Linked DNA regions of Nothobranchius furzeri. The protein of the gene in region 1 interacts with the protein of each later gene in a biochemical or structural test. Links are inferred from orthologs where the notes say so. Each region holds a gene or a part of one and is shown in the gene's direction. Other genes may lie near its edges. The genes, in order: nup85 and nup43.

Region 1 (15,490 bases):
AAATGTTCGCTCGCTGGGGAATAAAACAGTGCTTTTAAAGGATTTTTTTATTGATAATGGATTAACTTTGTTCTGCATGATGGAGACGTGGGTCCCACCGGGTGAGTCAGCGACACTTGCTGAACTTTGTCCGTCAAATTCTGTTGTGAATGAGCCCAGACTGTCGGGTCGAGGTGGGGGCCTATTGACTATGTACTCATCCTCCCTCCCCCTCAAGTGCCTCCCGGGCTCATCACCCCCACCAGCTTCGAGGTCTCTGTTTTTGAACTCAGTCTCTCCCCTCCAATTCTTTTTATTCTGTGTTACCGACCACCAAAATATAACTCTGCTTTTATTACGGACTTTTCTGACCTTTTAGTTGAATATCTCCCCAGGTACGACCAAGGTATTATCCTTGGTGATTTTAATATTCACGTTTGTTGTCTGTCGAATCCTCTGGTGAGAGATTTCTCAGATGTTCTGGTTTCATTTGGCCTCCAGAAACTGGTCAATGTTCCTACTCATGAGCACTCTCACACACTGGATTTAGTTTTATCATTTGGACTGAAGGTGCAGGACTTGGTTGTTCATCCTGTCAGTATTTCAGATCATTTTTCAGTTGTTTTTAACATCTCTGCCATGTTGCCTGTGGTGAGAAGGCAGGCTCCTCGCTACTCAAGGCACATCTCTCCCTCCACAACTGCCTCACTACTGTCCATCCTGGAGGTTGAATTATCCAATCCTTCCTCATCTGGGATCACCACGGATGTGGATTGGCTTTTAAATTCTTTTAATTTGACTTGTTCTGTTGCCCTGGACTCAGTCGCTCCCCTTAAACTTAAACGGAAGAAAACCACCTCTGATCCTTGGCTGAACAGTGAAACACGCAGCCTCAGGCGGCGTTGTAGGGCGCTGGAAAGAAGGTGGAAAAAGGACAAGCTACTAATCTCACAGCAGCTTCTGATGGATGCCCTTGACCTGTATCAGAGAAGTGTTAGATCTGCCAGGAACAAATACTTTGCATGCTTAATTTCTCAGCATAAACTTTATAGCACTGTCAACTCCATCTTGTCAATAACTGAACCTGGTAGTGTTGATCCCTCTGTGTCATTGTGTGCTGAGCTCCAGACCTTCTTTCTTCACAAAGTCCGGGACATTAGGGATAGTCTTGTGCAACCAGGATCTGGCTGTCCTGATGTACCACCAGAACCTCCCTCATTCTGTAACTTTACTCCCATATCTCTTAGTGAATTGTCAGATCTGATTGGAAATATGAAACCAGCAGGTTCTCCTGAGGACCCTCTCCCCCCGAGGATGGTGGGTGAGATCATCCCTATTTTGGGCCCCGCCATCTTAGACATTTTTAACTCTAGCTTGGCTACTGGGGTGTTTCCTACTTCTTTTAAAAAGGCGGTTGTGCAACCAATTAAAAAAAACTGGTATGGACAGCTCAAACCTTGCAAACTTTCGGCCAATCTCTAAATTACCGTTTTAGTCTAAGGTCCTCGAAAAGATTATTCACAGATTACAGCACACATGAATAGCTTTTCTCTGGTTGATGTGTTCCAGTCTGGGTTTAGGCCACTTCACAGTACTGAATCAGCCCTTCTTCGCGTGACCAATGACATCCTGGTGGCTTCTGACTCTGGGTCGCCTGTTTTACTCCTACTATTAGATCTTTCTGCAGCATTTGATACCGTTGACCACGATATATTGCTGGATAGACTTGAGTCATGGGTAGGGCTTAGGGGTACCTCACTTCAGTGGTTCTGCTCATACCTGTCAAACAGAGTTTTCAAGGTTCAGTTGGGTAATTGTTCCTCTACATTCCTTCCACTTCCATGGGGAGTCCCGCAGGGATCTGTGCTTGGGCTCTCCTGTTTTCAATTTACATCCTCCCCCTGGATTTCATCCGGAGGAAATATTGCTTGGGCTATCATATTTATGCAGATGATTGCCAGATCTACCTGGCTTTGAACAAACCAGGCTCCCTCTCTCTTCTGGACCAATGTGTGGCTGAAGTGAGGGTTTGGCTTGCCAACAATTTCCTTAAGCTGAATGATTCTAAGTCGGAGGCACTCCTGATGACCCCTAACAAAACCACACACGTATCTTCTGATTTGGCCACTCTCCCATATGACCTCAAGCAGTGTGTTACCAACCTTGGGGTGAAAATGGATACAAACTTTTCCATGGGCCCTCAGATTAACGCAGTGGTCAGATCGTGTTTTTATCAGCTGCGCAGACTAGTCCGCTTAAAACCGATCCTGAAACGAGCACACCTGGAATCTGTAATTCATGCTTTTTTCATCTCCCGACTGGATTATGCAAATTCCATTTTAATTGGTTTACCTGCCTCCGCTCAGGCTTCAGGTCGTACAGAATGCGGCAGCCAGGTTTTTAACAAACACCCCTAGAAGAGACCATATCACACCTGTACTGGCGCGGCTCCACTGGCTACCTGTAAACTTCAGAGTCAAGTTTAAAATCCTGACTTTGAACGGTCTGGCTCCGGATTACCTCTCTGATCTTGTGACTCCAGGGTGTCCGCGGGGTTTTAAAAAGTATTAAAAATTGATAAATAAAAATAGTCAAATTTAAGGCCATTAAAAGTGTTAAATTTGGACTCAGAGGTATTATTTTTTCCAAGTTAGGTATTATTTTTTTCAGACTATCAGGTGTCGTATTCTGAACATCGACATAGAAATATATTCCGAATGAAATGTTTTGAACGATTATAAAAATAAAACAAGCCGATTATTTGCTCCTCCCACTTGAGCTGCCCTGTTACAAATGAAGCGCTCCGTTGCCAACTTAGCGACTTTGATGCTATTTCTAGCAGCTTTTCAGACCCCCTTCTTGACTTTTTAAATCTTAAAAGTACCTAGCGAACACCTCAGAAACATCTCTGGTAACCCTTAGCTACTTTCTGGATAACTGTCGTCGACATTTCCTGCAGGTTAGCTAAACACTCCGCCTGCGCTCCGGACCGTTCTTCAGGACATTAGGAAAGGGAATGATGTAGTGATGTGTCAGTCGCTAAAAAAACGGCTCTCGGAGCCGTCTCCCTGTTGGAGTAACCAGAGTGAGTGACACACACTGTACCTGCGGACTCCTGAGCAACTAAAAACAGCTAAATGTGCGCGTGCAGCGTGCTAAACACACGTGCAGCTTGCCCCGATTGCTGTGAGACCGGGTTGGGGGGTGGGGGGTGCAGCTGTGGTTGGGACAATTATTACATTAACTGATGGGCCTGTAAATAAATAGTTTATAAATAAGGTAGAAATAAGTTCCTCACGCTGATAACTAATAACTAATCTCTCTGAGGACACGGTGCTAGTGCATGCTCCTACAGCACATTGACATGGCTAAATAAATGTTATGCAACATTTTGTGAACATCAATTTATTTGCATTTATTTGTTATAAATGCCACTGTATAATTCTTGCTGTCAGTATTTGCAAGATATTGGTATTTGGGTCTGTACTGGTTAGACTTAAATGAGTTAAACCAAGGTCTATAGCCCTTGGGTCATAAACTATGAGCTATGAGTATATTGGTCTTTTTATACTGGGAATCAGGAGTTCTTTTAGTGATCATCTTGTTTTTTGTTTATTTTTGCCCTGATTGTGCCCTGAGCAGTTTTATGACTGAATAAAAAAAAAATCTACATAAATTGAAAAATCGTCTTAAATAATCGAGATCTCAATTTCAGTCACAATAATCGTGATTATTGTTTTTGCCATAATCGAGCAGCCCTACTTTAGCATATCCGGTCACATTATGATGACGTCATATTCAGTGGTTCTGCATCATTTCAGGCCCCGTGGTCAACTGTCTGAACCGCTGAACAGAAGTGCCTGGCTTATTTTCTAAGTAAAATAAATATGCGCAATACGTTGTCAACATCAGTGAGTCTCTAAGTCTATTCTTTTTGTATGTTATATATGTTAAAATATGTGTAAATAGGTCGCTGATTAACACTTGCAATTTAGTGTTGTGATGGTTTTAAAAAAATTCTGAAGGTAGTAAAAAAGGTATTAAAAAGTAGTAAATTTTACTTAAGGATTGCTGTATATACCCTGGACTCGTTATGTGCCAAACCGGGCGTTGAGGTCTGCTGATTGCCTGCTGCTTTGCGTTCCAACAATGGAATGCAAAACGCGGGGGCAGCGTGCTTTTGTCTATGCTGCTCCGACACTCTGGAATGCTCTTCCTCTTTCAGTGAGGCTGGCACCATCCCTCCTCCGGTTCAAGTCGCTACTTAAGGCTCACTTTTATGACCAGGCATTTTTAAATCCCTGACTTTTATTATTTTATTATGTGTCTTTTATTGACCGTGATTATCTGCCTTGTTGTGCATTTTATTGTTGACTGTGTATTGTTTTATATTGTGTTTTTACTTTTTATTCTGTACAGCACTTTGGTCGGCTGCCATGCCGTTTTTAAATGTGCTTTATAAATGTATGGTATGGTATGATGGATAAAAGTCCGCTCAGAGTCAAAGATGACACCCAGGTTCTTCACTTGTGAAGATGGATTAAAAGGCATTGATTGCAGTTTTGGTAAAAGTTTCTTTCTCTGGGCCTCAGGACGATTACTAAAACTTCAGTTTTGTCCTGGTTAAGCTGGAGAAAGTTTCCTGCCATTCAGGATTTGATGTCTAAAATGCAGTTAAAAAGTGCATCCATTGACTGTGTGTCATCAGGAGACACCAAGATGTACAGCTGTGTATCATCCGCGTAACTGTGGAAATTCACCCCATGTGTCCTGATGACACTGCCAAGAGGGAGCATATAAAGGTTAAAAAGCACTGGGCCTAAAATTGAACCCTGGGGCACACCACATGTAATCCCGTGAACCCTAGAGGATCAGGTATCCAAACTCACCATAAAAGTCCTGTCTGTGAGGTAGGAAGTGAACCATCGGCCGATCCGTTTCAGAGTTAAAGGAATACTACTGTATCAAAGGCAGCACTTAGATCCAGGAGAACCAACACAGTCACCTTCCGTTTAGCATAATTTACTCTAAAATTATTTAAAATCTTCAGAAGGGCCATCTTGGTGCTGTGGTTCACCCTAAAACCAGACTGAAATTTTTCTAAGATATTATGGGTGTTGAATTAAAACAAGCTTTTCTAAAAATTTTGCTTAAAAATGGTAAGTTGGAAACCGGTTGATAATTGTTTAAGTCATTAAAACCTAAATTGCTCTTCTTCAGCAGGGGCCTCACCACCGCCCATTTAAAAGCGGCAGGAAAGACCCCCGTCTGAAGAGAGCAATTCATCATAGTTAAAACCGCATCTCTAAAAGAATCAGAATTGTTTAAAAAAAACTAGTGGGAATAGGGTCCAGGACACATGTGGTGGGCCTCACTGAGGAGAAAACTTATCAAGACTCTCAATAGAAAACTGACGTGGAAACGCTTGGATCAGAAAAGCCACAAAGATCTCTGTCACACTGTAACTTAGCATTCATCGTGGCTCATTACGGCTGTTGTTGGTTTAGTGTCCAGGAAGCGGCAGAGACTAGTAGAAGCTAACCGTTAGCATTAGTAACTCCACAACACAGCAGAACTCCTCCAGGCTTGTGTTATTTGGGATAAAATCAATGTTGCAACGGTAACAGTCAGTGATAGAGTCGTGTTGCTGAAATGTCAGAGCATCAGGAAATAAGACTCCAAAGCCCTCAGGCTTCTAAAATGTTTTCTTTAAACTGTCTTATTAAAAAAAGAAGTAATTTTATTTTATAACAAAGACAAAATGAACTTATTTAATAAACCCTCATTCTTCTGTTCTTTACTCCTCTGGCTAACTTCTTGTTCCTGAAACAGGAGCACCGGAGCTATTTCTCCACAGTGATTGACTCTAAAGGCATTTGTCTACACTAGTGATCACTGCTAATGTATTGAAAGCAAGTGAACTTGGATTTTAAACTTCTGCTTATTGTTAAATATTAAAACATGACTCTGCTGATTTTATTTCCTACATTTTCCAAAAACCCCTCTCAGCCTGGCGGCACTCAGACACTAACAGAGTTTGATGTGAAGTGGAGGAACTGGCACGAGGAGGTGGACCGCTACCTGAAGGATAACTCATTTGCAAGCAACCAACACCTGGAGGTCATCTGCAAAGTCAGTGACAGCTTGAGTTGTGGTTTGGTCACGTTTTCTGATGTGAACTGAATCAAACAGGGTGTTGATGCAACCTTAGATCCTACTGGGGGATGAAGACGTGTTGTTGGAGCACAAGGAACTTCTCAGCACCTGGTACTACTTCCTCATCACCAGACTCCTCTACTGCCATCCCACAGTGAAGCCCACAGAGTTGCATTACTACGCTCAGGTAGCCCCCGAGTCTGCAGCACTGACTCTGAGCACATGTAGTTTACCTGACCCGTGTGTTTGTGTCGTCTGCAGTCGTCTATGATGATGTTTCTGGATTCGGGCGTGCCGGAGCCGTTGGACAGCATCCTGCTGGCTGCCTTTGAGTTTGACATTCATCAGGTCATCAAGGACTGCAGGTAACCGACAGGGTCTACCATATTAATCACATTCAAGGTGCTTAACAAGTCAGTTCACGAGTCCTTGAACGGTCGGCGTCTCCCTTGTCCCCGCAGTATTGCTCTCAACAACTGGTGGTTTGTGGCTCATTTAACAGACCTGTTGGATCACTGCAAACTCCTCCAGTCTCATAATCTCCAGTAGGGATGATTTCTTTTATCTGGTTTTAATCCAGAGAGGATAAAATTACACAGTTAATTAATCTAATCTGTGTGTGTGTGTGTGTGTGTATGTAGTTTTGGATCCAACTTGAGAGAGTTCCTGCTGTTAGAATACGCCTCTGGTCTGTTCACGCATCACAGGTATGGCTCCCTTGTGACCGTTTAACCACACAGTAACATGTTTACACCTGAGGGACTGTCTAGTGGCACACTTGTGTTTTGGGTTTCAGTCACACAGAAAATCAACGACGACAAAAAAATGTCCTGCAATCATCGAACTGGATCCAAACATTGAAATATGAGTCGTTCTCTGTTATTTTAGCGTTCACTAACCAGATGTTTCTGTGTGTTTTTAGTCTCTGGCAGTGTGCCGTGGATTATTTCGATCACTGCCCAGAATTTGGCCGCGTCTATCTGGAGCTGCAGATCGAGCGAGTTCCTTTGGACACGGAGCGCAAAGCGCTCAAAGTGCTCCGAATTTGTGAGGAGAGGCAGATGTCAGAGCAGGGTAGGGGCTCGGTCGTCCTTTTTATCAGTTTGTGTCACAAAGCTAATCTCTCTGGTGTAAGCTAGGCTGGAAAAGCTTGACCTGGTTTGTTTTTTGTTGTTTTGGTCCCAGTGCGGAGCATCTGTAAGATCATGGCCATGCGGGCTGTAAGGAACAACCGACTGGGCTCTGCTCTCTCCTGGAGCATCCGAGCCAAAGATGCTGCGTTTGCCACCCTGATTTCAGAGAGGTCACATCCCTTTAGTGGTGCTCTTACTGAAATATACACAACTGACAGCTTCATCTTCATTCTCCAGGAACACATTTAACTTTTACCTACATGCTTCTTAAGCTTTTTATAAGTATCACTGTTGGGCTTATTAGTTCACTAAATGTCTTTCTCTCTGAAAATGATTTGAAGTTGTTTTTGTGTTTGTGTTTTAGGTTCCTGCAGGATTACTGCGCCAAAGGCACCTTCTCTGATCTGGATCTGATCGACAACCTGGGCTCAACCATGCTGCTCAGCGACAGGCTAACCTTCCTTGGTAGGAGCCTGAACACACACACACACACACACACACACACACACACACACACACACACACAAGACTAATAGAAACAGAACCAGTATCCGCTTGATGCAACAACATGTGATGGTGAGAATTTCTGGAGGATGATTTGATAGAAATGATTCTCTCCAGGAAAATACCGTGAGTTCCACAAGCTGTACGGAGAGAAGTGCTTCAGCGATGCTGCAAAGCTGCTACTCTCCCTCATGACGGCTAAAATCGCTCCCCAAAGCTTCTGGATGACGCTGCTGACGGATGCTCTGCCTCTGCTGGAGCAGAAAGAGGTCAGTCCACACCTGAACATCGGTTTAAAGTAGATTTGTTATTACAAAATCAAGAACTTTAGTTTATCCCTTTGATGCATAATGGTCACTACAGTGGACAGGTACTCAAAATAGTTATTTATTTATTTTTGCTATTAAGCACAGCTGTTGAAGACTTTATTGCATGTGAGCCTCTCCAGTTGGACTTCAGTAAGGCAAGCCAACATATTTCATGTTCAGAATGCACGCTGTCCACTGAGATAGACATGTAATAAAGTATTTGTAAATTAACAAAATGTTACAAAGAATATTTGTTGAAATTTGTTTAATTCACACCTAAAGATGAATGAAACAAATTGTTTAAAAAATCATGGTTGAAGATCTCATAATTCATGCATCAGAGGGTTAAATGCACAAATCTGGAGCATTCAGATGTTGTTAAATGAATGTTTTGATCCTGTTTAAGATCATTTGTGACCTCCTGGTCAGAGTTTTGTGTGCATGAAAAATGCTGCACAAATAGAATAAGTAATATCTATCTTTAAGTAGGTATTTGTGGAACTTTTTATTCATCATTAAAAATTAATTAATTTATGTAGTTTTTTTGAGTGACACACTACCGTATGTTATTTTTAATGTGAACATTACTACCCCTGTTTTATTAAAGGGGCACTTTGCAACTTTTTCATATTTTGAAGTCATTTTCTTGAGCCAGTTTGTGCTAAAATGACCCTTTTTGAGGTTAATTAAAGGCCACACAGCTCCTATCATCTCTCCCCCCCCCCCCACCCCCCCATGTGGCAGAATATCCCACTTGCAACCCCAGAGTGCCGGTAAAAAATTGAGCTGACACACCTGGCGCTGCAGTCTGCTTCCTGCATGTTTTGGATCGGGAACACATCTGATATGTTTGATTTGGTGACGACTCACTCCTGTAGACACTAATGAAGGCTGAGGAGTCATTTCAGCTGTTAGATTAAGGTGTTAAAAAGACGAACGCACAGCGAGGAGATTTCTTGGGGGTGCTAAAACTGCCTAGTTACCATTTAAACCAACTGACTACTAAACATGTTTCTTGTAAGAGTTAGCATATCAAAAATTGAGCTATTTGTCATTTTTTATTATGTGGATGAAAAAATCCGAACAGTTGGAGTTTCAGTGGAGTAACTTGTTCTCCTTGTTTTCAGGTGATCTTCTCTGCAGAGCAAACCTATGAGTTGATGTACTGCTTAGAGGAGCTCACCTCCTCTCTGATCACTGCTGCTTCTGGATCAGGCAGACCCATGCAGGTCTTTATTCTTCTTTCAGCTCGTCCCAGCAGCTGGACATTCCTGTTTCATAGTTTTAACACAAACCAAACCCAGTTTGATGTTAAAGTGATTATCTACTGCCGTTTCCACGTTTAAAATCTGTCTTTCTGTTTTCAGGAGGAAGACGTAGAGGTGACCAAGGTGGAGATGCTGAGACTCGCCCTGGCCAGAAATCTGGCTTCAGCTATTGTGAAAGAAGGAACAATGCAGACATAAAGTAGATTCAGATTTAAAAACAAGCTCTTCTTTTGCATTTTTGTACTGTTAATAAGATCAAGTCATCAAATGTTTGTTTTTTGATAATAAATATCTCTTCATTCCGTTCACTTACGTTGTTTCTAAATCATTTTTGGGAAATTATTAGAATAAATCAAAATATCAAACATATCAAATTGTTTTAAATTATTTAACTGTAAACAAAAAAAATCACGTTCACGCAACACGACACAAAAACAGCAGCTGTGTTTTATTAAACAGGGTCATTACAGTTCAACTGATCCCTTTTCTTATGAAAACAATCTCATTTTTCCAGTTATTGACCCTTCTCATGAATTATATTCCAAATATGTTTAGCTCAAATTTTTACAAAGTGTTTGTTGGACCAAAAGCTTTCTGTAAGAATTCAACTGCTTTAGTGGGGGAAGTTCCAAAGCAGTAAATGATTGTGTCATCAGTGTAAAAGTGCATATAAGCATCTGACACATTTTGTAATAAGTCATTGATATACATAATGAACAAGAGGGGTCCCAAGACTGAGCCCTGTGGTACTCCCTTGTGAACACTAAAAAATTCAGAGGACAACCCATCACAATTAAGGCATTGAGTTATGTCCTTGAAGTAGTCTGTGAACAATGGGATTGCATGTTCAGACAATCCCAAACAAAGAAGCTTTTGTTTTAAAACAGCATTTACACGTTGAGGGCAGGAGGCTTGAACCCAAAATGCAAGAACCCAGAGATACACAGGCAGGAGTGATTGCAAAAATAAGAATCCTTTATTTAGGAGGAGTTGCAAAAAATCCAAAGGGCTTGAATCTAAGCCTCGCATACAAACCACTGAAAGCCAAAACAAAAGGTCAAACTTATGAGCAGGAACCTAGCGAGCACAGAAGGGAAACTAGAACAACGCTGACAAGACAACGGACCAACAAAACACAGAGACAAGACGGTTATATACACAGGGGCTGGATGATTAAGGAAATTGGGCACAGGTGAGACTAATGAACTGAGAGAAGGAGCAGAAACAAGCAGGGGAGAAAACTATCTAAATCCTGTAAAACAAAGCTACTAAACTAAAATAAACCTAAACACTGTAGAACAAAGACACAGGAGATTTAAAGATAAGTAAACTAATGACCTAAATAGGGAAGGAAACCCAACACACTAAAGGAGATAAGACCCCAGATAGCAAGAATTGGTTGAATAAACATTGAAATAATGTTTTTTGCTATCTGGGACTAGATCATCTGAACATATAGAAAACTAAAAACAAGTGAAGTGACTGGGGGAACATGAGGGAAACCAGGAGGGGGCTGGGGACCAAAGGGACACAACATGATAACACATGGTCTACAGTGTCAAAGGCTTTTGACAGATCAATAAAAAGACATTGGTCTGGTCATACCTCAGAAAGGGAAGGTCGTTAGAAAGCCCAGGGCCGATTTAGGGGGGTAGAGGTGGGTCCCGTGACACTGTGACGTTCCTATCAAGAGTTATGGCCACCTGAAAAATCCCCATTGCAGTAGTAGACGTTGGGTCATATTGGAACGTAAGCAGGGAGTCCTCGTTAATACTCGGACCTGGTTAATACCTGGTTTTGAGATTCGATATCTCGGCAATGGGAGGTCATAGAACAATGCGGATGACACCACTGGAAAGCCCGTGGCTGGTATTGAGGGAAAAGATTCCCGTGGCTGCACAATCTTCCTGTCCAGACATATTCGAGCATGATTTTGATGAAGTCTGACAGTAATTTGGAAAGGGAAAGTCTTACGGGTGGTACCACTGCATGTGCAATGACCAGGTTGGACCAGGTAGACCTTGGTTCCATAGCTCTACGAGGTACCGTTCCAGAGTTACTCTCAATCAAAGTTTGAGATTTGGTGACGTTAAAATCTGAAGGAAAGGACGAGGAAATAGAGGGCACCATTGGATGCGTGATTCCATGCTTAGTGGGAGTACAGCTTGGTCCCATGGCTCCACGACGTAATGTTGTAAGATAAGTAAGAACATGAGTGAATGTTAATACCGCATGTATCTCCGGAATGCAAGGTTGCAGCGCACTGCAACCATGCTCTGACATAGCAACACTTTTGAGCACACCAGAAGTGTCCACTTGTCTCTACGAGCTTTAGTTCCTGTGATACACAAAACGTGACGTGAAAGTGGGCGTATCTCAGGAACGAAAGCTCGTACAACAAATTGGAGTGCACAACGTAAAGCCTGTATGTGATTTAGGGGGGCAGGACTTGGTCCTGTTACGCTATGACCTTCCTATCAAAAGATATTTAAATTTGAATTATTAGAATTTAAATAAAATTAAATTAAAACTTATACCTGTATATCATCACATACCGGCTATATAAAGGGCTGTAAAACAGCTATAAGAGCTCATTCAGCTGCGGGAACTCAACGAATCAACAGCTCTTCTTCTTGCCTTCACTTTTAGCTTTGATACATAACATTCACTGCACAAAAACAACATTCACTCATATTCTTACTCAAAAACAATACAAATACACCCTAATCACACTGATAAATACAAAAACACCACGGTTAACGGAAGTTACGGTGTAACTATATGGTTCTGTGAGTTCCTGGATGACTGCCAGTGCAGTAAACAGAGTGGATGTATCTCCTCGCGCTCTGCGCAGGTTGAGTACTAATGTAAACAAGTCTATAAATTACGCGCCGATAGCTACGTTCGGGTCTCCCAGGATCTTCTCGCCCGAGAAGTTCCGAGTGACTCCTGTAACTGGCAGTTATCCAGGAACTCAGAACCATAGTTACACAGTAACTTCCGTTCTGTTTCGTTCCCTCCTGACTGCCAGTGGCAGTAAACAGAGTGGATGACTTATGACAGCAGTGTCACAAGGAACATAAAACTCACCTTCACTCAGGAGGTAGCCGCCAGAGGCAGCACCACCGAAGCGAGCGTGGACCCGTGGCCAACGTTGAGGCGGTAGAAGCGTGCAAACGTGCACGGAGTTGCCCAGGACGCCGCAGCACGGACGTCCGCCAGTGGCACACCTCTCATCGCCGCCCAGGATGTAGCAACACTCCTGGTGGAATGGCACACGATCCCAGGGGGAGCCACTGCACCCACTGCCGCATAAGCCGTCGCAATGGCATCCACGATCCAATGCGACAGCCTCTGCTTCGAAAGGGCCCGACCCCTGTTCACTCCTCTGTGACAGACAAACAGCTGGTTCGAATGCCGGACAGTGTTTGTGGCCACAATATAGAGCTGCAGTGCCCAGACCGGGCACAGCAAATTCGCCCGCCTTTGTCCCTCCGAATGAAATGGGGGAGGGAAAAACGCCCCCAGCTCGATTGCGGCATTTACGTAGCCAGAGGGCAGAACCTTGGGAAGAAAGGCAACGTTGGGCCACAGTGTCACCCCCGACCCATCTGCCTTCCACCGCAGGCAGGCGGGTCTGATGTCCAGTGCGTGCAGCTCACTGACCCATTTAGCCGACGTCACTGCCAAGAGAAAGGCGGTTTTCACAGACACCACTGTCAACGGGGCGGTAGTCATCAGCACAAAGGGTGGCCCACACAGGGCCTGCAGGACCAGGGGAAGGTCCCAAGCAGGTGCCGGCCTGCACAAGGCAGGATGCAACCTTCTCACGCCCCACAGAAACTGGGTCACCAAACAGTGAGCCCCAATGCTCCTGCCATCCACCAAGAGGTGGTTGGCCGAAATAGCTGCCAGGTGTACCTTAAGGGTCGAGGTGGCCCGGCCCTTGTCAAACAGGTGCCGGAGGTACCGCAGAACCTCATGCAGGGAACAAGAACCAGGGTCCACGTTCCTGCCGGAACACCAGGTAGAGAACCGCTGCCAACAGCGAGCGTACGTGGCCCTTGTAGACAGAGCCCTGGCACTATCCAGCACCTGCTGGATGGAGGGCTCTAAGCCGACTAGGGGCTGTCTGCCCCCTTCAATGGCCACACCGTGAGCCGAAGATGATCTGGGGACGGATGCCAAATCCTCCCCTCCATCTGAGACAGGAGGTCCCGTCTCGCCGGCAACCGCCACGGCTCCCCGTTCAGCAGACTGAGAAGCAATGGAAACCAGACCCTCATGGGCCAGTCTGGCGCCACCAGAAGGACCTCGTGTGACGAGTCCCTCATCCGATGGAGGGTTGGTAAGATCAATGGGAAAGGTGGGAAAGCGTACAGCCGAACCAACGGCCAGGCATGTGCGAGGGCATCCATCCCCAGAGGGGCGTCGGCCTCTGCCAGGGAGGACCACAAGGGGCAATGCGTGCTGCTCCTCGAGGCAAACAGATCCACCTGGGCCTCTCCGAGCTGATGCCACACCCTCTGCAACACCTGAGGGTGCAACCTCCATTCCTCCGGGGGAAGACCCCGCCGGGACAGGCAATCCGCCACCGAGTTCCTCCACCCCGGAAGGTGCAGTGCCCTGACGGAGGCCAAGCAAGGGTAAGCCCAGGTCAACAGCGTCTGAGCCTCCCTCAACAATCGCAATGACCTGGTGTCCCCCTGATGGTTTATGTGGAACACTGCCGAGGTGCTGTCCATTCAGATGAGCACATGCTTGCCCCGCAGAAAGGGCAAGAAGCGCCTCAGCGCCAAGTAGACGGTCTTCAATTCCAGGACATTGATGTGAAGCCGTGCCTGACGGGGGCTCCACAACCCCTGGACCGACCTGCACTGCCAATGCGCCCCCCACCCCCGGGGTGACGCATCCGTCGTGACCACCTCCCGTCTAGCGGGAACCACGCCAAGCGGCACGCCGAGATTCAGGTAGGTGACATCGTCCCAATGACGCAAAAGAGCCACACAGCTGCTCGTGACCTCCAGCTCGACCCTTCGGTGTCGCTGGGGATCCAGGCGGAAGCCGTTGAACCACCTCTGCAAGGGCCTAAGGTGGAGCAGCCCTAGAGGCACCAGTGCAGAAGCCGAGACCAGCATCCCCAACAGTCGTAGCCACACCTGGACCGGGGGTGCCGCCCCAAGGCGAAAAGCCCAGAGCAAAGACTGAATCCGGACCCTCCTCTGCTCGGTCAGCCTCGCCCGCATGGCCACAGAATCTATGGCAATGCCAATAAAATCCACCCGCTGAGTCGGAACCAGAGAACTCTTCTGCAGGTTCACCGTCATCCCCAGCGCCTCGACGTGGGCAAGGACCCTGGCTGTGGCCGGACCCATTTCGCGACACGACGGCGCGCAGACGAGCCAGTCGTCGAGATATGGCAGGAACTTCAACCCCGACCGACACAGGGGGCTCAGGGCTGCCTTCACGCACCGCATGAAAACTCGGGGGGCGAGGGACAAGCCGAACGGCAGAACCAGAAACTGGTACACCCTCCTGAGGAAAGAAAACCGCAGGTACTTCCTGTGCCCCGGATGGATCGGGACATGGAAGTATGCGTCCTTGAGATCTATGCTCGTAAACCACTCTCCCGGACAAACCACCTGAAGGACATCGCGAGTCCGAAGCATGCGGAAGGGCAGCACCTTCAGGAACCGATTGAGACCCCTGAGGTACAGTACCGGGCGCAGGGGCCCGTCCTTCTTCGACACCAAGAAATACGTCGAATAAAAGCCGTCTGCCTGCAAATGCGGCGGAACGACCTCTATGGCCCGTTGCTGACCCGTGCAGGATCTGTGACCAAAGTCACACTGACCCCCGAAGGGGGTGGGGCCCGACGGTGGAACTGCAACCTGTAGCCCTGGGACATGGTTCGAACCACCCAAGCATCTCCGCATTGGGCCTCCCAGAGTGCTAGGTGCTGTGGTGTAAATCTGCCCGCCGCCGGCCCACAGCCCTCAGGCCGGGTCCCGACGTCTGTTTGGGGCCCTGTGGGGCGGCGGCCCCTGTCCTGCCCCGAGGATCCCTGGGGTGGTGCCTGACCTGCCCCAGAGCGTCTCCAAGCCCCTGCCGCGGTCTGCTGGGTGGCCTGAAAGGGGGCGGC
Region 2 (16,840 bases), on another chromosome or scaffold:
CTTGTGTCCGGATCTCACATAGACTAAATAACTAGTTCAACAGTTGGGTTTTATACTCGCACAGCAAAGCATCAAATCCCACGACATGCCTTTAAAAACCGAGTGCTGTTTCATGAAACTATACTAGTACAGCAGTTTGTATAGCAACATTTTGTAAGTAGGTGTGAAAACGACAGAAAGAAACGTGCAGCTGGTTGGTATGGTATGGAACAAGCAAAAAATAAAGAAAACATGTCAATAAGCAGCAAAAACGCAGCCGTTTCAGCTCCTTTGCCTGCTCCAAGCCACACCATTTCACCTTTGCCACTGTGAGAAGGAGAGAGGGGGAGGAGAGGGAGAAGGAAGTCACTTCCACCTGGACCACTGCTTGTCTTTGTCTGTTAAAGGCACATAAATCACCCCCATCAAGGGCTTCATCTTGGTACTGCCATCCTCCATCTTGTCATACTGCTCCAGCATCTGGTTTCCTCCCGCAGGACCGACGGGGAGAATCAGACGGCCGCCGGGCTTCAGCTGGTCCAAAAGCTGGAGAAGAACCAAGCGAAGCGAGTTATAAACAGGAAGTTATGCCCTTTTTTGGTTAAAACTAAACGTTAATAGAAATGCTATTAAGTATTTAGTCTGCAGAAATTTGTCTTGAAATGTTTTATATTCCCCTTAGTGAGCAACTTTGTACCTGTAAACAAACCGATTTCTAGACATTTTTTGTGTTTGCTAGCACTGATTAGCTGTGGTGGCCATCTTGGATTTAGTTAATTTTCTAACACGTCACACCTTCCCCTAAGGCTGGGTAGCTTCAGGTTTTAATGATATCTGGTTTTCAGTACCTAGATTGTTAAATCTAGTTATAAGAGAAAATTACTTAAATGTTTTCTTGGTTAATAAAGTAAACAAAAACACATCTATCCATTTTCATCCGCCTATCTGGGGTCGGGTTGTGGGGGCAGCAGCCTAGGAAGAGGCCCAGACTTGCCTCTCCCCAGCTACTTGGGCCAGCTCCTCCAGGGGCATCGTAAGGTGTTTCCTGGCCAGCTGAGAGACAAAGTCCCTCCAGCGTGGGCAATCAGTTGGTAGTGGGTGTGTTGGAGAGTGGGTCTAAAACAGTCAGATTACCCAGATGTGAAAGCTCTAATAGTTCCTCCAGCATGTCCTGGTCTCCCCGTAGGTCTCCTCCCAGTTGGACGTGCCTGGTAAACCTCACCAGGGAGGCGTCCAGGAGGCATCCTAACTAGAGGCTCGAGTAACCTCAACTGGCTCCTCTCAATGTGGAGGAGCAGCGGATCTACTCCGAGCCCCTCCCAGACGACCGAGCTTATCGCCACCCTGCAGAGAAAACTCACTGTGGCCGCTTGTATCCGCGATCTCGTTCTTTCTGTCACTACCCAAACGTTAGGGCTGCTCAATTAATCGAATTTTAATCACGATTACGATCTGAGTTTTGAACGATTATAAAAAACAAAACAAGCCGATTATTTGCTCCTCCCGCTTGCGCTGCCCTGAGTAGCAAATGAAGCGCTCCTTACAGTGTTGCTAACTTGGCGACTTTGATGCTATTTCTAGCAGCTTCTCAGACCCCTTCTTGACTTTTTAAATCTTAAAAGTACCTAGTGAGCACCTCAGAAACATCTCTGGTAACCCTTAGCTATTTTCTGGATAACTGTCGTCGACATTTCCTGCAGGTTAGCTAAACACTCCGCCTGTGCTCCGGACCGTTCTTCAGGACATTAGGAAAGGGAATGATGTAGTGATGTGTCGGTCGCTAAAGAAACAGCTCTCGGAGCCGGCTCCCTGTTGGAGTAACCAGAGTGAGTGACACACACACCGCACCTGCAGACTCCTGAGCCGCTAAAAACGGCTAAATGTGCGCGTGCTGAACACACGTGCAGCTTGCCCCGTTTGCTGTGAGAGCAGGTTGGGGGGTGGGGGGTGCAGCTGTGGTTGGGACAATTATTACATCAACTGATGGACTTGTAAATAAATAGTTTATAAATAAGGTAGAAATAAGTTCCTCACGCTGATAACTAATAACTAATCTCTCTGAGGACACGGTGCTAGTGCACGCTCCTACAGCACCTTGACACGACTCAATAAATGTTATGCAACATTTTGTGAACATCAATTTATTTGCATTTATTTGTTATAAATGCCACTGTATCATTTTTGCTGTCAGTATTTGCAAGATATTGGTATTTGGATCTGTACTGGTTAGACATTAATGAGTTAAACCAAGGTCTACAGCCCTTGGGTCATAGACTATGGGCTAAAAGTATATCGGTCTTTTTATACTGGAATCAGGAGTTATTTTAGTGATCATCTTGTTTCTTATTTATTTTTGTCCTGATTGTGCCCTGAGCAATTTTATGACTGAATAAAAACAAATAAAATCAACATAAATAGAAAAATCGTCCCAAATAATCGTGATCTCAATTTCAGTCACCATAATCGTGATTATTATTTTTGCCATAATCGAGCAGCCCTACCAAACGTCGTGACCATAGGTGAGGGTAGGAACGTAGACTGACTAGTAAATCGAGAGCTTTGCCTTCCGGCTCGGCTCTCTCTTCACCACAACAGATCGGTACAACGCTCACATCACTGCAGATGCAGCACCAATCCGCCTATCGATCTCACGCTCCATCGTTCCCTCACATGGGAACAAGACCCTAATCAACTTTTTTTGGTGATAAACTGTACAAATGAGTCTAACCGTGCTGTACACACGTGTAGTCAATAATCTGGCACTTCAGTGCATCTTAGTTAAAATTTAAATATTCTGCCTAAGACTGTCAGTGTTGCGCCCTCTTCAGGTAAAAACTCTGCACTGCATTTTAATTTAAATCTGCCACCGCTAGTGGCTAAGAGGTACCCTACTACATTAGCTTGTGCATTAAGATGTCACAATGTCGTGAATCTGTGTGTGTATTTGTTAGCGGTTCCTCCCTCTCGGTCTCCCAGGCAACAGCATTTGCTGCATTTTTCAAACAGGAACTGAGAGTTGAGTAAGATTCTGGTAGGGGGTGACTTGCTCTTTCAACTCCTCCACTTGGGGCAGAACCTCATCCCTGACCCGGAGAAGGCATTCTACCCTTTCCGACTCGACCATGGTCTCAGATTTAGAGGAGCTGATTCTCATCCCAGCTGCTTCACACTCGGCTGTGAACCGCTCCAATGAGAGCCGGAGATCATGCAGAGATCTGAACCTCAGGCCACCAAAACGGACCCCCCCCACCCCCCACCCCCACCCCCCAACACCTCGGCTGTGCCTAGAAATCCTGTCCACAAAAGTTATGAACAGAATCGGTGACAAAGGTCAAAAGAGCCCGACTTCCTGCTGACAATATGGACCAAGCTCTGGCGCTGGTCATACAGAGACCTGACAGCCTGCATCAGAGTGCCTGGTACAAAAACACAGCTAACAGTAAACTAGTTTAGTAACCATCACACTTTTTAGAGCATGAACAAATTATAAATATTTGTATAAAATATAGAGAATGTAGAATTTAGTTTAGTGCAAAACAAAAGTGCACTAATATTATCCATTAGATGCAAAAAATATGAAACATCTACTCTAAAATACTGAAAGAAAAAATGTTTAGATCCCAGATCTTATAGGTTTTAGACGCTTTCTGCATCAACCTCAACTATAACTGATCTTACAACACAATAATAACAAAACAACAATAATTATGTCAATGCTTCGGGTAAACCTCCAGCGTCATGATTCCAACAGAACCTAAAATATTCCGAATGACTCACAGCTTGGGGGACGTTGGAAGCTGCTGCACCAACATGGATGGCGTCATACGGCGCCTCCTCTGGGTGTCCCATTCGCCCGTCTCCCACTGAAAACACACCGCAGGGTATCAGTTCCAGGCTGCCAGCCTCGACACAACACGGACAGATTCGTCACTCGTCCAAAAATCTGCTGCCGCTGCTGTTCCTAGAGCTGGCGACTTTTCACCAATTTAAGCAGAGAAATCTAAATAACCCATTTCTTTTATTAGCTACTATCTAGAATCTTCTGTGCAGATTATTGCTGCAAAACAAGGTTCCCCCGTTACCTACTTTGCGGTGCACACGAGGGAATGTAAATGTGTTGTGATGTCATATAGAAGTCACTTCTGATTCGTCGCAGCCCTACAGAGGAACACGAGTGTCTGCCTGCGTTGGTGAATGACCTGGCTGTAAGAGCGCTTCAAGCCTCCTGCTGAGAAGGTGAAAGTAGGAACTCGCTGCTCTGCTCAATTATTTAGCGCTGCAGACGGCCTATCGGGCAAACGGGAGATTTTCCACCGGTAAGGAGCAACGCACGCTCTTCAGCAGGTTCAAAAAGTCCAAATTAAACTCTAATCCTGAATCCATCTTACCTATTAGCTTGACTCGGCCTGACGTTATCAAGCTGGGGTCATCTTTCTTCACATTGTTTATAGAATCGTCTACCAGCTCTTTGATGTGATCGATTCCTACAACTTTTCCTTTAGGACCTACCTAGAAAAGGAAAGAAAAGCCCAGAAGACGACAGTGTTAAGCTCAAAACGTCAATTCGAACCGTCGTGATTCTTAAATCCTCTACAGCGATTGGTTCAGCGAACACATCACAGCGCTGCCAAGGAGAACTCGTATGTGTTTACCCGTCATGTGTGTGGGCTCACCATTCGTGCAAAGCAAACAGACAGGATCCCGCTGCCGGAGCCGACGTCCAGAGCTTTGGCGCCCTCGCACAGCTGATCATGTAGGAGCTCCAGTGCATAGGCGTGCTGGGTGAGGGGTGGGGGGCAAGCACAAATGAAGTCTCGGTAATTTAACTAAAACAGAAGATTGAGAGTGCAGAAACAGCCTACCATGTGCGGTGCGCTGATGGTTGCTTGATAGCCTGTTGATAAAAGAAGGAAGGATTAGTTTATCCTCTGATGTCCAACTGCCACGCGTCGATGATCCGTGAACACACCTACCTATAGACTGTGGCGAGTCCATGTATGCGTTACACCTCGAGTAGTGCGCTCGGTCTGTGGCCAGCATGACTTCAAACACCTTGTCGGACTTAATAATGCCATTTTCTGAGGATGCAAAAGAGTTTGTGTCACGGCGTGTTCTGGAAACGCGAGCAGAGAGACGTTACATAATCCTGCAGCCGAAGGGCAGAAGGGTTGATGCAGAAAAGAAACAAACCACCACAATTACTGCTGCTGCTGCTTAGAGGGCGCTGCAACACGTTCAACACTGCGAATTATCACCAACTCAATAAGAACGACTGCATAGCGCCAAACTGGATGTGTTGTTGTGCACACGTTTTCCCCCATTAAAAAAAAACACCCGATTTGTGTTGCATTATATAAATGAATACATAATGTGGGAGAAAGCTCTAACCACAACACCTACAGCAAAAACCCCTGGTGGCTAACGACAGTCAGGTGAATCTAAAACAGAATAAAACATTTATAAAAGTAATAATTTAGATACTGAAAAAATGCAAAAATTGAACACATTTTCACTAAAATACAATAAGATATCATTGCTTTATTCTTGAAAATTGAGGGGGAAAAACTATGAAAAGTCATACATTTGCATATTACAGCACCCCCAACTAGAAACCAAGACCAATTCTTGTGGACATGTCAGATAAACTATAAACAGCAGCTAAAAAACAGGCTGCACCGACCACACAAAGTTAATAATCCGTGTTTGGAGCTGAAAAGAAGCCGAAAGGATGCAAAAACTGTTGATTAATTCAAATTTGAATCCATCCTCAATCACTGCAGCACCTTGTGCCAAAAACAGAAAAAGCCAACAGCAGGCGGTTCTCATTCCTCGCTCCCCTCACCCACGGAGCAACGCGCAGCTTTAGGACACACTCCAAATAAAACTGCCAAATAGACACCCACCACTGATTTCTGACATTTAAATGATCAATAAACCATTTGAGCTGCTTCCTTCCTGTCGTTTTCTTTCATATTTACAAATAAAAAAATAACACGAATTTATTTGCTGGCTGTCCACCATGATTTTATTTATGTTAAAATTTGGAGGCAGCCCAGTGAAACAGGTGAGGCTTTGGAGACAGTCCAAACTGCCTTTATTTACCAGGAAAGTAAGTTAGCGGTGAATTAGCATGCGTTCTGCATGTGACCTCTTTAAAAGCATCTTATGCAAACTCTGGGTTAAATGTCTATACAGGTCAGACCACAAGAGGCAAAAAAGAGAAAAGAAAAACTGATTACTACGAATCAAACCTTTTATTTGTTTATTTTTATGCTTCTGCTTTTGTAAGATTAACCAATTTGATTTAAAAATTATCAAAGTAACGACTTTCTTTTAAAGGCTTTCAATTTAATAAATGTTATTTTTGCACAGCTTTGCAAACTTGTGAGCTGCTAAAAATGTAAACTCTGTATAACTTACGTTAATTTCCCTATAAATGAAAATATAACACAGTGAATAACAACGCAGCTTTTGGCAAACTTGCAGCTTGCAATAACATCCCAGACTGCACACAATACAAATAGACCTGGTAGATACTTAAGAGTGAGAATTAATTTGCAGTATCGCGCTTGCAGATATCCCATCTTCATTTGCTAAATGCACTAGAAAAAGAGTCTAAAGATATTTTTACAGTAGTCATCATTGACTGACTGCAGAGGAAGCCATGATGTTGATTATAGTGGACTCTGGACCACGTAACAGCTAAGTCATCCATCTTTTACTGATGTACAGTATTTTGCAAAGGCAACAGAAGGTGTTAGGACATTTTTTTCTTTTATTTGATCACAAAAACACCATAAAGACAATTGTCAGGGGTTCCTCTTGCACTAGTTGTGTCCAATCCTGGTCTTCCTGGAACAATAACCAGGATGCTTTTGCTATTGTAATGATTTTCAGTGGTTATATTACCTTTTAGACATGTCATCAAGGTCCAGAGAAACCTGTTAATCAGGTGTGTTGAAACAGAAATGTCTAAAATGTGCTGGATTGTTGTCCTGGAGAACCAGGAAATGACACTGTATGTCTTTTAGCATACTTGGGATCCACCGATACCACTTTTGTCCAAACCGATACGATACTGATACTTGGATCTGAGTACTCGCCGATACTTCTACCACACAAATAATGCAATGAATTGGAATACAGGTTTTATTTTCTTCTCTGCTTTCAACAGGAAAAGATTGTGAGGTAGATAAAAAATAAAATATATTCATAGAAATGATCACAAAACTGAAATATTAGGTGAACAGAAATGACAAGTTATGGTGAAGCCACTTTCAGGCAACTGCATTGGTATCGGTTCCTGGTTTCGGTTGACTTTTACATCCCTACTTCTATGCCAGCATTACAGTTTTCTTTACTTCATAGTTTGTCTTTTTGACAGGCTGGTTACATGAATAAACTTTTATTAATTTAGAATATAAAAAAACAAGATCTGAACTGGTAACTAGATATAAACTGGAAAAATAGGTCGTGTCTATAAGCCCAGAAAGCCAAGCTGACGCTAGGCACACCCTCCTACAAAATTCTCAAAATTACTCTGACTTTTTTGTTTGATAATTTAAAACACATTTTGCAGGTTGTAATGTGTGCAAACAATAAAGAAACTGTTTTGATTTCTGCAGATCGACTAAGGTTGATCGATTTCTTATTAAAATATTGTGAAAGGATATTAAATGTCCATGGAAAGACATCAGCTAAAATATATGCACAGAAATTTGAAAATGTTCAACAATCAGGCTTCTTAAATGGAAATGAGTCGTGGGCTTTGGCACAGAGCTATGTAGCTAACAGCTGCAGTGATACAGCAACTTGTCATTATTTAAATGTATCCGAGTATTAAAGCTCAGCAGAAACTATCCGGACATGTACAGCTGTTACTGTCATTCACATTGAAGTCCAGTAGAAGACACAGACATCAATGACAGTGGGCAGTAGCATAAAATCTCAAATGACGCACATACTGCTAACATGCTAAGCTAACTTCCCACAGGACACCACTTTTCTGCGATTTACAACAAAACGGAAATGTCATTTCTGCTGGGTTTTTCCCCCCTGCTGTGACAAAAGCGTTGCCTTGTCCCACACATGGTCCCACAGCGAAAAACGTGGTTTAGGAAAAGGGGTGGAGAGGCGGGAGGAGACGCTGGGTCACCATAAACATAGCTTGCTAGTAGCTACCGCTCCTAAGCTAACCCCAGCCTCCAAACTACAACGTTTTCTGGCGACGCGGCGGTGAAGTTCATCGCTGCTGCCGCTTTAAACCTGCAACCGGACTCACTGCGAAGGTTGTTGACAAGCTCTGCGTGGCTGGCTCCTCCAGATTTCCAGGCCATTATTAAGCAGACTTTACGGAGTAAGTAGACAGCAGCTGTAAGTGCCGCGCCTGCGCCAATAGTTTTACCAAAGAAGCTGACAACCTCCAGAGCAGACGGCGTAGCGGCGGATACGTCACTAGACATCCAAATGATTTTACAGAGCAGAGCCGCCTCTCAGATGCACGACCAAGCAGAAAAATATGTCATTTTAGAATATAATTAATCTGTTCATGATGCATCAAAGTCAGCGTCAGACGAAAGGGAATAAAAGCCACGTTCCTCAGCCATGCAGTGCTTTATCAGGTTTTTGCCGCAGTAACAACGGAGACGACCGCTAGGTGGCGGAATGTACAAATTCACATTTCTTGCGAGAAACGCAGATCAGATTGTTTGATCCTGTTGAGCCACCGTACTTACGTTTAAAGCTAGTGGGTGCGTACATAGAGCTAAGCTAACATCAATAAGAATATTTTTCGTATTTAGGCAGCAGAAACGTTGGTTGTTCTCATGGAGAGTGCTAAGTACGTGTCCCAAAAAGTCAGCAAGGCCAGATGGCGTCCTGTGTCGTCTTCGTTTTTACAACAACCAGAAATCTTTGCGACGGGATCGTGGGACAACGAGGTTGGCTAGTTGAATATTTTTGGTGAACCAAATTTACCCAGTTTTTCAAATGTTCTGTGTTTCTCCTGATTATGCACACTTACACGTTGTAACTGTCAAAAAGGATTTAACACTTGTTACACATAGTTTGCTTTTTTGTGTGTCTGTCAGGTTCGTTTTGGTCATTTTTTTTGCAAGGATGTGGCCTTTATTTAAAAAAAAAATTATTTCTGTAGGAAAACAAGATATCTATTTGGTCCGTGGGTAATTACGAAAATTCGGGCCTGGAAGATGGATTTGAAGGAGATCCGCAGCTTATTTGTGAAAACAAGCACGATGGAGATGTTCTTGGCCTCCAGGTAAGACGCTGTAACAATAATGTCATAACATACTAATAATGCAATTATTCATCACCATCAACTTTATTTATAAAGCACTTTACATCGACCAGAAGACAGACCAAAGTGCTGTACGCACTTTAAAGAAATTAAAACAACAATGAACCCTGCAGAGATGCACATAAAAACAAATAAAGTACATTTTCTGCGCATTTCAGAATTTTGCTAATACAGAAGGCAAATCTGTTGTTCTATGCATCAATAGTTTTGTTTCTTTGTAGGTCTGCAGGATTTCTCAGTGCACAGCCTTGTTATAGTCAGCAGGAGGATTTGCAACACAGACTCATTTGTTTTGCAGCCATTCTGTTGAAATTTTGACACGTGCGTGGGACATTGTTTTGCATGACTCAGTTTTAGTCGAGCTTCAGCTGTCCAATTCCTCCAAATTAGACTTGATTATACTACTTGATTATAGTTCCTGGATCAAGAGAGAATCGTCACGGCCTCATCAACGGGAGCAGTCACCATCTTCCGCCACCATCACAACAGTCAGGTGCAGTAGAGCTTTCATAAAAGATGTCAACTCCTGTATGAAGGTTGTGTTGCTGCCTTTGCTGTTTATTTATAAAATCATTTTTTCTTCTTACATCAGACAATCTCAGTTTCCCAGCAGTGGGTGAAAGCGCACCATTACCCCTGTGACAATGCTCCCTGCACTGCAGTTGTGTGCAGCAGCCCTGAGATCATCACAGTTGGGGAGGACGGCAGGATTATTGTCCTCAGAGCCGACCAGGATTGTATGGCTCAAGTCATAGGTGAGATTAAACCACCCCATTCAGAACTCTGTACACTTTAACTCGGTGTCAAGTCAACATGCTTTTGCGGGTACATTTGGTAGAGAATGCTGACAGCAGCACGATTCATGCTGTGACTTACCTGAGGACGACGGAGATTTTGACTGTGAACTCCATCGGACAAATAAAGCTATGGGATCTAAGACAACAGAGCAACTCGGCATCACAGATTCTGTCCTTGTAAGATCCGCTTTAGCACGTTTTCCCCATTTTTAATTCTACTATTTTGCTGATGTATGTGGATTTTAATTTTCCTCCAATCAGGTCAGGAGACAGAGTTCCTTTGTACTGCATTGACAGACATCCAAACCAGCAGCACATTGTAGCCACAGGAGGCCAGGATGGAATGCTCTGTATGTGGGATGTGAGGCAAGGCAGCATGCCCTCATCCCTCATGGAGGCCCACTCAGCTGAAAGTAAGATGTACATTTTTAATTATTTAATGGACATATAATTTACACACATATTTAAATATTTTTCACTTTTTTAATGCTTTTTGTCTAACTTTCCTGGCAGTGTGGGAGGTCCACTTCCACCCTACCAACCCAGATCACCTGTTCACGTGTTCAGAGGATGGATCGCTGCTGCACTGGGAGACGTCCTCCCACTCAGACATGCCCTCCTTTCTACAAGGCAAGTCCTATTCATCATAATAATCATTATTATTATTATTATTGGTATTCAGTTTAAAAGGCTGCCTATGTACTTCTTCTATTTTCTTAATTATAAAGATTCTATGGAAACACAAAAGCCATAATCAAGAAAATATCCAGTTGAATGTTTTACTGAAAGTTTACATTATTTAGGGTTAAATAAACAAAGAATTTCCTGATAATGTCCAACACCAGGTCAGTCTATTAAACATTGTCATGTTGTACTATTTGTCGTAATTTCACTGTAAAAAGTGTTATTGTTGTGTTTCCAGGTAGCAGAAACAGCAGCGTGACCTCTCGCAGTGCGATGGCCCTTGCTGGAGGAAACCAGTCCCTCATCAGTGCCTGGCTCAACGGAGACTCCAGTAAAAGCCGCCTGGAGACGACCCACATGCTGCCCAGCCAGACGCTGTCTGTCAACAGCTTGGATGTGCTTGGACAGTGCTTAGTTTGTGGAACTGATGGAGAGGCTATTTTTATCAACAAACAGGTCCCAGTTTAAAAGATCTGGAGGTGACTAATAAATACATGAATGCAAATTTTAATTTGATGTTTTGTGACACATTGGAAGACTTTTTTTTTGTTACACAAAAAGCCAATATACCTACGCAATGAAAGACCTCTGTGTCTGATGCAATGCTTCATTCTTTGCAGTGACAGAATATGGATTAGTGTTTTTGTATGTCATTCTGTACACAATTGTTCAGATTAATAATGTTTTGTACAGATTACTTAAAAAACAATAAAGAAATAAAATGTAACTTTCTCAAATTGTCTCAGGATGTTACGTTTTTTTATACTGACAAATCAAGTAAAATTGTAAATCAAACCTACCAACATAAAAATGTCAAAGTCAGCCTTGTGAGCTCTTATGTTGCTCTGTAAATTTACAAATAGATGTTATGTGCTCACCCAAAGGGAAATTGATTTATTTTTATACATATTAATGCTCTTATTTTTTTATTTCTAAGATTTGTGCTGTGAAATGTGTTTGGACTTCATTAACAGGTTAGCAAAAAAAAACTTATAAAAAAAAGCATTAAAATTTTCTTCATTAGTTTTATTAGTGTTATTTTGTTCTAAACTTAGCAAAAAAGTAATTTCTCCACTGACTTTTATTGTGAAAGTCCAGCGTCTGATGGTGCGTCGTTAGCTTAGCTGTTGTACTTGTCATTCAGATATCCCAGGAATTCAACAAGACTAGGAACCAGTCGGCGCGGAACAACAAGGGCATTTTAACTTCAAATCGCGTCCTCGACGCCGAGGAGGGTCAGCAAACCACTACTGTCCGTTAATAATAGGAAAAGCGACAGCGGCGGACTTTGGTGAGTTGTTGTTATCGGAGCTAGCAGGCTAATGCGCAACCTGTTGTTGAATAGCATCAAATGGATTCCTATTACACACAGGCCGCTTGAAAACTGCTGTGTTGTTTGATTTTAATCCTTTTTAAAACTCTTAAACTCAGTATTCGCCCACTCTTTTGACTATCCTTATAAACGTTTAATTGTGACAAAAATCCGTACCCAACGCCGGAGAATTTACGTAAAATTAGCGTTATGTTAGCATAGAGTGCTAAGGAGGCTATACACACGGAATGGGGTCTTTTAATGAAGTCAGTTCCAATCGAGACATTTTTTACCTTAAAATTTACGTACGCCGAATTTCACTCAAAAGTAAACGATAAACAATCATAACTATTTTTTTATCAACACATGACTTCCAAGCGTGACAGAAACAGGTTATTTATTTACAAAAGGATTGAGAGGCATGAAAAAGTATCTTATATGTTTTGAGTATTTCCAGATCATTAATTATTGAGAACAAAATATAGAAAACGTGTGTGTTCCTAGACTTTATTTTCTGGAAGGTTTTAATTTGATTAAAAACGAATTGTATTGTAAAACTTTTCTAAATGATCACTTTCCACATGTTTCCCTCACTGTTTTCAACTTATCACAAGTTCACCCAAACATTTTCAGAGCTCTATGTTGATCTAAGTGGAAATAGCTTTAAATATACACCTGATCTTTAATCAAATTAGACTTTTTCATTAGGAATACAAGCTTATTAAAAACAGATAACTAGTTTTATTTAGGGGAAATTCCCAGAAATCCTTGTTGTTGTTTTGCACAGTCAGTGGTGATTTTTATTTATAGTATACAGACCTTGTTACTGTAAATTTACAGTAAATGTTCATATCTTTACATTTTAAAAATGGCAGAAATATCTTAACATTTGAGCTCAAGAATGAAAGTAGATCTGAAATGTAAAATATGTAGGAACGTTCTGGTAAAGAAATAAGTTGGGCTCTGTTAATTACTTCTCTCAATCTCATTTTGCTGAACCTGTTTGGTAACATTATGTGTACTCTGGTTGCTTGTTTATCTCACTTTCAACTGGCATCAAATATTTTCCGCTGCAGCACATAGATGTGAGGTCAGACATCGGGAAAACGTCCGCTATTGTCGCCACCCTGGATTGGTGATATCCTCTCCATCCCTTTTATCATCGTCATCATCATACATGCTCGTACATGAGGAGGGGGGAGAAACCCGAAGGATACAGACAGATGAGGCCCAAAATATTACCGGTCGGCAACTGCAGCGGCAACAGCCAGCAAATGCTGATGGAAATCCGAAAAAGTCTGCGCGACATGTCCAAACCTTCTGATTCTTCTAAAGTGGACAACGGCGGACACGGAAAGATGGCTCCTGAAGATCCAAGGCGCTCCAGCAATCCCAAGCACCATAAGGCATTACAGGAGATTCGCAAGTCCCTGGTGCCCTACGAGGTGAATGGTTCATCAAGCACTTCAGACATTAACAAACCGATGTGTCTGGAGCAACCATGCGCCGGGTTTGAGGAGGTAAGCGGAGTTATTAAGAGTTTATCCCTTTTGCCCTCATAAACACATTCTTAATGAGGAATTGTGACAGGTTCTCATTCTGTTCGTGCCTTTGTAATAGAAGATAATCACCTGCTGCACTGTGTTTAGAGGGCAGTTATTTGGGAAATGCTAGGTATGCAATGTGAAATAACAAGCGTCTGGTTTGCGTGAGTACATGATGAAAAGTATCATGGTAGGCAGCGCAGGTGCGCGGGTTCAACCGTGTTCAGAGGGTGAAAAGCAACAGTCTTGGGAAAATTAGATTGTTTTATTCTTTTAAATTATAAACATCTTTTGTTAATTTTCTAATCATTTTTATTGTAGATTAGAAATTATAAGTCATTGCATGAAGAAGGAATTTCTTAATGGATCTACTTTGGCCTCCGTAGCGTCGCGGTGCGACCAACTACCAGGACCAGATGAGGGAGCCGGTCATGGCTGCTAACACCAGCTCTTCAGGCCTGAAAGCTCCAGGTAACAGTCCTCTGGGATCCGTGTTAGTTTTCCTTCTTTCTTCTACATGACCTTTGGACTCAGCCCTCATATTGTTTGCAGGGATCAGGATGGTGACAGTACCTGCTTCCAAACATGAGTCACTGTACAGCTTCATAACAGAACAGAACGGAGGGTTTTGGTGCTTATTCATGCTCTCGCTGGTATTATATACGTAGAGGGAACACAGATGCATCTGTAGTATCGGTTGTAATTTCCACTGTTATGTGATACTGATAATATAAGTAATTGTGTAAAAAGATTCTTAGTCGCTCGGAAGTGCCTACACGACACTTATGACAGCTTCTTTACATGGCCAGGCCGCGAGGGGCGTCATGAGCATCTCTTCTGAGACGATTTGTAGAAAACTTTTTTTTCTATATTTTTATGTATTTTCCTTTTGCCGCCTACAGTCACAGCCCAGTGAAATCCTAGTTTAAGTTGTCTTTGTTCTTCACTTAAATCTGACAAGATCTTTACTGTCGTGTAGGATCTTCTCACATGCAGCAGGTGGTGCTCAGGAGGCCTAGCTGGAAGGGCTCTAAGGAGGCCCTCGCTCCCCGCCTCGGTCCTCACATGGCAGATGGGATGGTGTACCGCCCCGACAGCCCCGGGCCACCTCCTGTCTACCCACCACTCCGCGGTGTCGCGGCTTCTAATTCTCCCTGGGACAACAACCCATCAACCAAGCGCTGGTCTGGGAATGTGGAGTACTTTGTTCCACGAATCTCTCCAGTTCCCCAAGGAGCTCGGCCTGATGGGTACCCAAATCCACCTCCTCAGAATCAACGCGGGGCCAACCCAGGGCCCGTAGTTCACCAGCCTATCATAATGCAAAGTTCAGGGAATAAATTCACTTCTCCTTCCACTCGGACTCAGAATGGCTCCGCTCAACAGGACTACATACCAGGGAGCAGTAGACAACCCCCTCCTCCATACCCAGTCAACCAGAGCAGCCGACACAGTCCCACCGAGCAGCCGGCATCCTCTCCTTCGTACGTCAACGGTGGAAACATCCCTCCTCCCATGCTGGTGTCTAACTGGAGCAACAGCAACCAGGACCTGTCCCCGTCATGGCAGCAGAACGTGCCAGTCCGCTCAAACTCATTTAACAACCACCAGCTCAACGGCAGACCTGCTCATCAAGCCAGCTCCCAGCCCTCTGCCACTACGGTCACGGCCATCACTCAGGCTCCCATCCTGCAGCCGGTGTCGAGCACGCAAGTCCAGAAACCAGAGCTACACACTGCCGTCGCTCCCACACATCCTCCATGGAAGCAGCACCTTTCAGCATCTCCAGCTGCGCCTGCTTACCCAGAACCTTCACCTCAGGTCCCTCAGATCCCCACAGCACTAGAGGCACCAAACTATATAGGCCCTCCTCCACCGTACCCTAAACACCTCCTACAGCAGCCGGCTGCACCCTCGCCCCCTGCGTACGACGCTGCAGCCAATAAGCTTGTTGCGGGTAGAGAGGAGAGTCCTGAGGAGGAGAGGAGCTGCAGCAGCGGCAGCAGTGGAGACGCCTCCAGGGAGAAGGTGTCAGAAAGTCTTGAAAGCACCACGGCAGCGGAGAAGGAGAGGAAACAAATCACAACATCACCTGTTCCTGTTCGCCGTAACAACAAGAAAGATGAGGAGCGCAGAGGGGAGTCTGGGAGAGTCAATCTGTATTCCCCCCAAGCCTTCAAGTTCTTTATGGAGCAACACATGGAGAACATCCTGAAGAACCATCAGCAGAGGATTCGGAGGAGGAAGCAGCTGGAGTGTGAAATGGACAGGGTGAGACCATCTATGAAAAGAAACTGTCCTTTTCTCTTTTTGACCTGGTTTCCCCGTCTTATCTTGGTAAATCTCCGATCTTTTCCACACTTTTAAGTTTTTCTTAGCTGTTCTTTCTCTTCCTTTCTCTCCTTGCTGTCACAAGCAGCTGACCTAGGAGGTTAAAGTATCTTTTCCTGTGCTGTGACTCAGAAAAGCCCAAACACACATCAGTTACACAAGTAAGGTGTCAAGTGTCTCATATCTGTATTTTCTCCTGCATCGAGTGAAAGCATGAGAAGAGTGGCATGCCATCCCGCAGCCGCCTCCGTGCACTGCACGCACATTTTTGTTTTGGGGTAAATTGATCATTAACACTTCAGGAAAGATAGATTTCACTTCGTTTTGTGGTGGTGTCACTCGTTTCCATTCATTACTAACGTCTCATTTTAACATGGATTGCATGAAAGCTGCATTTATTTATTTTTATGGTCCCCATCCTCAGGTGGGTTTGTCGTACGAAGCCCAGAAGCAGATGCGTATGATGCTCTACCAGAAGGAGTCCAACTACATCCGTCAAATGCGCGCCAAAATGGATAAGTCCATGTTCAAGCGGATCAAAACCCTCGGCATCGGAGCATTCGGCGAGGTGTGCTTGGCGAGAAAAGAGGACACGGGGTCGCTGTACGCCATGAAGACGCTTCGCAAAAAGGACGTGCTGCTGAGGAACCAGGTGGCCCACGTCAAAGCCGAGCGGGACATCCTGGCCGAGGCCGACAACGAGTGGGTGGTGCGTCTCTACTACTCCTTCCAAGACAAGGAGAACTTGTATTTTGTCATGGAGTATATCCCCGGGGGGGACATGATGAGCCTCCTCATCCGGCTCGGCATCTTTAAAGAAGAGCTGGCCCAGTTCTACATCGCAGAGCTCACTTGTGCGGTGGAGAGTGTCCACAAG

Evidence for each region.
Region 2: the proteins of nup85 (region 1) and nup43 form a complex in vitro, tested with the Homo sapiens proteins (2 studies listed by BioGRID). The link is inferred for Nothobranchius furzeri from reciprocal best matches to the Homo sapiens genes NUP85 and NUP43.

The regions. Positions count from the first base shown.
Region 1 is NC_091752.1:54,269,775-54,285,264, forward strand, and holds the end of nup85 (nuclear pore complex protein Nup85), read left to right. Parts: intron 1-5,988; coding exon 5,989-6,111; intron 6,112-6,190; coding exon 6,191-6,322; intron 6,323-6,396; coding exon 6,397-6,500; intron 6,501-6,596; coding exon 6,597-6,680; intron 6,681-6,776; coding exon 6,777-6,842; intron 6,843-7,057; coding exon 7,058-7,209; intron 7,210-7,320; coding exon 7,321-7,438; intron 7,439-7,632; coding exon 7,633-7,733; intron 7,734-7,889; coding exon 7,890-8,041; intron 8,042-9,207; coding exon 9,208-9,309; intron 9,310-9,447; coding exon 9,448-9,546; 3' UTR 9,547-9,656; downstream 9,657-15,490. UniProt on the Homo sapiens protein: Essential component of the nuclear pore complex (NPC) that seems to be required for NPC assembly and maintenance. As part of the NPC Nup107-160 subcomplex plays a role in RNA export and in tethering NUP96/Nup98 and NUP153 to the nucleus.
Region 2 is NC_091742.1:11,409,020-11,425,859, reverse strand, and holds nup43 (nucleoporin Nup43), read left to right. Parts: upstream 1-8,584; 5' UTR 8,585-8,804; coding exon 8,805-8,918; intron 8,919-9,133; coding exon 9,134-9,256; intron 9,257-9,710; coding exon 9,711-9,788; intron 9,789-9,887; coding exon 9,888-10,050; intron 10,051-10,133; coding exon 10,134-10,269; intron 10,270-10,353; coding exon 10,354-10,505; intron 10,506-10,605; coding exon 10,606-10,726; intron 10,727-11,014; coding exon of another isoform or gene 11,015-11,018; coding exon 11,019-11,244; 3' UTR 11,245-11,513; downstream 11,514-16,840. Other genes in the region: pcmt (protein-L-isoaspartate(D-aspartate) O-methyltransferase), read right to left, coding at 356-525, 3,757-3,842, 4,368-4,488, 4,653-4,757, 4,842-4,873, 4,953-5,057, 8,261-8,441; serine/threonine-protein kinase LATS1, read left to right, coding at 13,276-13,608, 14,019-14,103, 14,612-15,903, 16,388-16,840. UniProt on the Homo sapiens protein: Component of the Nup107-160 subcomplex of the nuclear pore complex (NPC). The Nup107-160 subcomplex is required for the assembly of a functional NPC.